2 linked regions of the Caenorhabditis elegans genome follow. The protein of the gene in region 1 interacts with the protein of each later gene in a pairwise test. Each region holds a gene or a part of one and is shown on either strand. Other genes may lie near its edges. The genes, in order: lys-8 and abu-11.

What was found.
Region 2: the proteins of lys-8 (region 1) and abu-11 interact in a two-hybrid assay, tested with the Caenorhabditis elegans proteins (one large-scale study listed by BioGRID).

The regions. Positions count from the first base shown.
Region 1 is NC_003280.10:5,583,858-5,587,788, reverse strand, and holds lys-8 (LYSozyme), read right to left. Parts: upstream 1,612-3,931; 5' UTR 1,611-1,611; coding exon 1,360-1,610; intron 1,052-1,359; coding exon 775-1,051; intron 579-774; coding exon 246-578; 3' UTR 138-245; downstream 1-137. Other genes in the region: C17G10.13 (THAP-type domain-containing protein), read left to right, coding at 1-86.
Region 2 is NC_003280.10:192,601-196,531, reverse strand, and holds the start of abu-11 (Activated in Blocked Unfolded protein response), read left to right. Parts: upstream 1-1,973; 5' UTR 1,974-1,997; coding exon 1,998-2,072; intron 2,073-2,717; coding exon 2,718-2,936; intron 2,937-2,984; coding exon 2,985-3,554; intron 3,555-3,616; coding exon 3,617-3,931.

The sequences.
Region 1 (3,931 bases):
GAAACACGTTCGTTGAAGTCAAAGAAGACAATACGAATATCAAAATGGAAAAGGGAACGGACTCGGAAATAGATATAGAAAATTAGAGCCAAGCTCGCATTGTTTTGTTGTTATTTGTTTTTAGATTCTCGTGTTTTGTTTTTTTGTAATAAACTTTATTTTCAGATTTTCATAACATATTGGGGGTACAGTTAGATACAAAATATAAGTAGTCAAATTCCACTTATTTTCGGAACTGATAAAATCTATTGACTTCCTTGAATGAATCCTCCAGCGTAGATCTTTCCATCCTCTTCAACAGCGTCAGCGGCCTTGAGCATAGTTCCAGCAGCATAAACATCTCTGTTGACAGTGAACTGGCAAACTTGCTCAACTTGAGCGAATTGTTTGACAGATGGAGTAGTCCAGCATCCGAACGCGCGGAAATCAGCAAAACTGGCCGGGGTCTCTCCATTGACACCACCTCCAAGGACATTCCAGTACCAGAGGAGAACATCATTTCCAATGCTGCTCCATCCGTTGGTGATCTGGTTCCAGTCGTAGTAGGAAGTGTAGATTCCGACAGTCATTCCATATTGCTGTAAATTATATGAATTTTGATATGAAATTTGTTGCAGAAGTATGAACTAATCGGTTCAGTTTAAAAACGTCTTAACCCAAAGGTCTTATCAGATTAATCAATGTTTTAGACTATAATACGAATCATTCGAGTTTTCGTATTTGAATGTATTTCAATTCCTTGAGCAAAAAATCAAGCTTCTACAGGAAACTTACTCTAGCTCTTGACACAATACTGTTGATAAAGTTGACATTGTTATTAGCATTGCTTGGCCAGTTGGTTGGAGAAGTGACCTGGATCCATACAGATCTGATTGTTATTCCTCTTGCAGTCAATCCTTGGTAGATCTCATCCAATTGTTGGTATCCTTGCTTGCTTGAAGCCGGCTGTGGAGTCATGTAGATCTCTGTTCCGAGTCCAGCGTTATACGCATTCTGAATAGTATTGCAGGAGTTGGTGTCGAAGGATCCTTGTCCAGCTGGGTTGTATGCACTGGAAATTCGATTTAATTGTTATGGAGTTTTAGAAAATGTTCATCAAATTATGAACGTTTGGAATCGAAAAATGAATTAATCAGAAACGAAAGCAGGCAAATGTTTGCCCAAGTTTGGCCAAAAATATTAAAAAGGTTCTGAAGTGACAATACATGACCAGAACTTGTTCTGGTTTAGCTCAAGTTTAATTCAACTGTTGACAATATCTTTACACTTGGGCCAACCTTGGGCAAAAAAAGATTCAACTTTTTTTTATAAATAACAATTTATAGATAGGTAAATCATAAAATCTTTTTCAATTCTTACCGGACAAAGACTGCCGAATAACCAGCTTGTTTGAGGCACTGAAGCTGGCTCAATGAAACTGGAACAGACAAATCAACAGCGAAAGCATATGAAGCCAAATTTGGTGGAACTCGTGGAGCAGCCTCAGCAATGACTTCTCTGAATTTGACTGGAAGAGATGAGTCAACGAATGGAAGGACCTTGACGGAGACTGAAGCCGAATGGCAAAGTACTGCCAGTACTGACAAAAGAGCCACTGATTTGAGAAGCATTCTAGAAAATGTTCAACTTGAATGAGTTAAGAGAAAATTATTAACAAAAAGAACAAAGAATAAGAAACCAAATTTTATAAAAATCAAATACTAAACCGAAATGTTGAAGAAACTGGAGTGGTTATCATGATTTATAGTCTTTATCAAAGAGCTGGCAAGTACCGCTTGTCCATCTGAATTTATAATTTCGGAAAACATTATCATGATATCACACTCTGTTATCAGTAACTGTGTACACACTTTTATGTCATTAATGTCGATGAAAAGAACATCACAAATTATGTGGAATACCGGTAATTGAGCGTGGGCGTTTTGATGATTTTTTCTAGGTTCAAATTCTCGTAAATGACAATTTGTTGTCTTTTATTAAATTGATAGTTCATAAGTGAACACAATTTTTTTCTGACTAACAGATAGTGGTAAGATTTTCAAAGCGATTATGCATATGTTTTACGTTCAACTTTGACCATAACAGCGAAGAAAATTGAAAGTTCTTGAAAACTAGAACTGTAAAATGTATGATATTCTCCTTCAGCACTATACCAATTCTTTTATACAAAAATCCCATTTGCAGCTGAATAAACATTCTCCTTCTTGTTCCATAATTTTTCCCATTTCACTATATTTTTACCGTTTAACATGTCTGTTTAAACTGTACTAACATCCAACGATAGCCCCTGTGAGCAATCCAATTGTTTAAAAATCATTAATCTATTTTTAATGTGAATTCAATTAGTCGAGATTTGTCTTTGGATGGAATAAAAACGAAGATGACGAGTTTAAGAAGTGATGTCATTTCCAGAGGAACAGAGAGTAAAGAATTCGAATTGTTGAAACAGCTGAAATTGTAGATCCATTTCGAGATCAATTTAGTATTTGATAATGAAAAGTGACGTGTCTGTCTATTCATTGAACAAATAACAAAAACGATAAATTTTAGTCCTGAAGCCAATTATTGGTATTTTCTAAAAACTTTGAAGATTTTTGATCCATTATTAATTTCAACTAATTCTTGGCCAAATTGTTGAATTCTTCAGTTAACGTATATTTACTTAACTTTAAAGTGGCTTCAATTATATCCAGGGACCTCTTTAGGCTCTCCTACCTACATTGGGTTTTCAGTATTTTAGTTTCCATCCGTACTTGCCTGCCACATGTCTACCTTCATGCCTGTCGTCGATGTTCTGTATTTCTTTCGTGATCCTACTGCCCGCCTGCCTGTCTATGTGCCTACCGCCTATTTCATTACTTTTAATATTATGCCACATTTTGATGTTCCAGATATCATATAGCTTGTTCTATATCCAATGTTCCTTTGAAAATTGAAAAATCAGAAATTCAATGATATCGTAAAAAAACGAATATATATTCTTTTTTAGCTTCTTCCTGTATTTACTTATGTTTTTTCCTTCTGAATACACACACATTTCTCTCTCACTTTATTATCATAAATCATCATAAAAAAATCATTGGTGACGTCAAAGTTTACATTTTTGGAGGTGCTGTGAAGAATTGTTGAAAGTCGAAGTTCTCGGTGTGATATGAAGACTTTGGAGGTTGTCGTTCAGCGATTTGATGCCAAGTGAAAGCGGATGTACGATGGAAAAACTGAAATGATAATTTGTGTAAATAAATAATATATTCAAAAAAAACTAACGCTCAACTCGACGAAAGCACTTTGAATTTCTCCGAGATGCAATATTTTGGCATTCACATACTTTTCCTTGATGAACTTCGAAATCGCTTGAGCACTTTCATCGCGAACACTTTGGGTTTCCGGCTTCTGTTGTTTGACAACCTTCAGCAGATCTCTCTTCATATCCACATACTGAAAAGTGAAACTTTATGGTTACATTTATGAAAAACTTCTGAAGAAACTAGAGCTTTGAATATTGATTCCTGATAACAAACCTTTGGATATTGACCGTAAAGAAACTTTTTGACTCTTTTGAGATGCTTGGGCCCTCGAGTCTGCAAGTTTCTTTCAGCTGATGCCAGAACGACCGCATTCTTTGCAATTGCATCGTTCATTGCTGGTTGCAACTTTGTGTCCGTTTTCCAGTTGTTTTGAGTCAACTGTACTTCCTTGTTCAGCTTCTCCGCTGCCGTTTGTCCTTTCTCGCTTACAATGTTCTAAAATATGTGTGGTTGAGCAAAGTAATTAAAGTAGAATGTATATTACTTCCATATCAACCGTCCCGTTTCCACGTCTCATCAGATTTACGAGTGTTGTGAAGATTTGTTCAAGAGCAATCTGAAATTTAGCAAGGTTTTATGAGTCTCATTGGAACACTTTTGTTTGAAAAACAAAAGTTAGAAAA
Region 2 (3,931 bases), 5.4 Mb from region 1:
AAACTTCTTTCAAATATTATATTTGAATCAGGGATGGGCGGCAAACGATTTTTTCCGGCAAATTGCTAAATTGCCGGAATTGAAATTTTTGGCAAATCGGCAAACTAGCAAATTGCCGGAATTGAAAATTTTCAGCAAACCAGTCAACCGGCAATTTACCGATTTTCCGAATTTGTCGACAAAAAAACTTCCGAACGGCAATTGCCGCCCGCCCCTAATTTGAAAAGTTTTTGTATAATACGGTTCGACAGCCGTACACATTTTTTGTTGTGTAGCTCTCAAATACACGCTGTGATTTGAGAATCCATGCATCTGATCTTTTGCAGAGTCTTCCTATCGAAAAGAGCAAATTTCTCAGTACCCCTTGATCTTTTGTAGAACTGCTCATTCACAGCATCTAATCCCCCCACACGTCTTAACATAATTAGCATTCCTACATTAGCTACTACATGTGTTGATTATTTGTCTAACAAGATAGAGATAGTGTATACATACTTCCGCTCTCATAAAGACCGGTCATTTTCCGTGCTCATTCTCACTCTCGCAATGTTCTTCCCACACCCTTGATCCTAAGGAAACATGCTCCTCAAGAATAATCTCTTGAAAAGCGTGAGCGATTGTGGTAACAAAAAATCATGAGTATCAATGAAAACAATTCAACGGAATTTGGATTTGGGTGGGTGTGAAGGCGCTGTAAAAAAATGTAATATGAATTTAAGACCTCTATCTGCAAAAAGGTACAATGTAATTTTACAAAGTATTCAAGGTTTCCCTTGAAATAATTTTATAAAAACATTCGTACTAAATATCGAAAACTGCACCAAAACTATTTGCCGAGTGGATTTATCAGTTTCCCGCAATATTGGCAAGACTATCAGGTTATATGATATGATATTAGTATGAGTGCACCTCCACAAGAGTAAAGATGCAATGACTAAGATCAAAAAATTCCATTCCGCTTTGAGCACAAAAAAGATTCAGCGCTGGTAAACTAGTTCTCACCAAGTTTAGAACATCAAACAATTGACGCAATTTGTAGGTCATAGACTGGCAGGTTTTTGATGTTTTACATGACAAGTTTGAGAATAATGAAAGCAATCTTCATACATTTTAATAACTTTTTAAAGAGTTTTTAACTGATATCTTCCTAGAGCAACAAAAACAGCTTATATTTGCAAACATAACCATTTAAAGTTGAAAATGATACTTTTGCCATTGGGTTTTGAATTTGTCAAAATCTTGTTATTAATTTATTTTACTCATGTAGTTTCTAGAAAACATGTCATTCGTCCTGAAACCCCATGGAGCATACGTTATTGTCCTGTCAGAATGTTATTACGTAATATATTACTCATGACATTTACACCATATACAAAAATCTATTTATTTGCAAATATGTTCCATGATTATTTTCTGAGCAACAACAATTATATCATAGTCTAGACTTCACAGGGATAATTAATGTTGTTGGGAAGAAAAGTAAGAACTTTAGAAATGGTGATTGACCGAGTGAACTCTCAAATATCTATTTTTGTCTTTGTAATAACTCTATGAGTAATGAGGAATGAGGAACTGAATTTGTGACTGCAAATTAATCAGAAAGATTATTTAAAGAAGAAAGATATTTTGCTGTAGTTTGTGATGGCTGCTGAAAGACCACCGGAAGACTTTTGACATCGACCAAGTCCTGAAAGATCACGTCCCTCCAGTTCTTCAACTGTAACCCTTGTGAATACTAGAAAGTAAAAAACAAAAAAATAACAACATGTCAACATAACAACACGCCCTCCCCCTCTTGCTCTGCTCTTCCAAACACATGAGCACACACACACACAGGCACACGCAAAAAATTTGGAGACGCATCACTCGAAGAAACCGGAATTTGGGACAGAGGTGGTAGTAGAGGAGAGGGGGCGATGTTTAACTGATTGCAACGGGAAGATATATAAGCAAGAGCATGTATTGGGACAATCATCACTCACTCTGACAAGCTTGAAATGAACACCAAATTTTCAATTCTCTTTTCGCTTTTGGCGGTTTCAGCACTTGCGGTGGCTGCTGAGGAGAATGTGGTATGTATTATTTTTATGAATCTAATTATAAATATTTCATTTGTTCCCCTTTTCTAACTCTTATATTATAAATACTTATTTTTTAATTTTAAAACATTTCGTGCTCACTCACAAGCAATTGCATAACTTGAATATGAATTAAGTAAAATATAGGAACTTCTTAATATATGTTTCAAATAGTTTATCGTTTGACTTCATTATTTTACTACTGAAAATTTAGCAACAGGGGAGTATTTTGAGCTGCAAAAAAGTCGTTCTGAAAAGTTTTCAATGAATTTTTCACAACTTTCGAACTATCGAGGGCAGTAAAAATGTGCCAAGTGTGAATTTTTGCTGACTTTCAAGAGCTTCTAGCATGTTTAGGAGCTGGCTAACAATCGTAAATTTTTTTGGAATTTTTAATTTTTTGAAAAAATCTGAAATTTTTTCACTCAAGGGGTTTTTCTGATTTTCAATTTTACGGGCTTCTAAAGTAATAAAAAAAATACACTAATAGCAACTTCAGATCGAAATTTTTCTAGTTCTAAGTTCTCCTCTGCCGCTTAATTTTTTTTGCAAGGGCCTATTTAGAAGGTTTTTTGCAAATGAGATATTATCCAGAAGACTAAAAAATTAAGTTGAAAAATTAAGTCGTTCCTTTTTCAGTTCCTCCGCGCTCGTCGCCAATCTTCATGTGGATGCGCCATTCCAGCTGCTCCACAATGCAACTGCCAACCAGCTCAAACCAACACCGCCCAACAATCTTGCTCCTGCGCTCAAGCTCAACAGCCATCAAGCTGCGGATGCGCTCAACAGTATCAGCAACAACAGTGTGCACCAACTTGTCAGAGCTCCTGTGAACAGAGCTGTGTTGCCCAGCAACAGGTTAGTCAAACCAAATTCAACCCAGTTAGCCATTTCATATTATTTAAGCCAATCGCCCAGTGCCAATCATCTTGCTCTTCCACTTGCCAGTCCGCATGCGCTCAGCCAGTTCAGCTTCAGCAGCCAGCTCAGCAACAGTGCCAACAAGATTGTCAAGCTGCTTGCCCACAACAACAACAACCACAGCAACAGTGCCAGCAGCAATGCCAGACGACATGTCAATCCGATGATCAGTACTCTCAACAATTGATCCAACAGCAAACCTACGCTCAGCCAGGACAAATCCCAGCCTACACCGGAAGATCCGAGTACAATACTGCCCCACCACAACAGCAACAAGCCAGTCAATGCAATACCTGCCAAAACTCGTGCCTTAACACATGCCAGCAGCAACAGCAGCCAGTGCAACAGTGCCAATCATCATGTGATCAATCGTGCCAGCCACAATGTGCCACGCCATCTGGCTCCGCTTACAACCAAGTCAACTACCAGCCACAGGCCCAGAACAACTACCAAACCAACAACAACTACCAACAGCCAGGAGCCATTCCATCATACCAAGGAGCTTCCCAGACTGCTGCACCAACCTACCAGCCATACAGAGACACCAATGTTCAGGTAACATATTAATAGTATTACTTCTAAATCTAGATTTAAAGAAATCCAACCTAAATTTGTAGGTCGGAGGAACCATCTCCCAGTGCAACACTTGCCAAACCCAGTGCAACCAGGAATGCCAAGTCCAGCAGACCCCAGTGAACCAGTGCGCTCCACAATGCGACGCTCAATGCCAGCCAGCCTGCTCCCCAGCTGCTCCAGCAGCTCCAGTTCAAACGCAACAACAAATTCAGCTTACCATCAATGTTCCAGTTGCTCGTCAGTCCCCACAGTGTCAGCCACAATGTGAGCAAAGCTGCAACACCCAATGCATTCAGCAACAGCAACCAATCTCGCAGTGTCAGCCAGCTTGTCAGCAGAGTTGTTCGGCTTCCTGC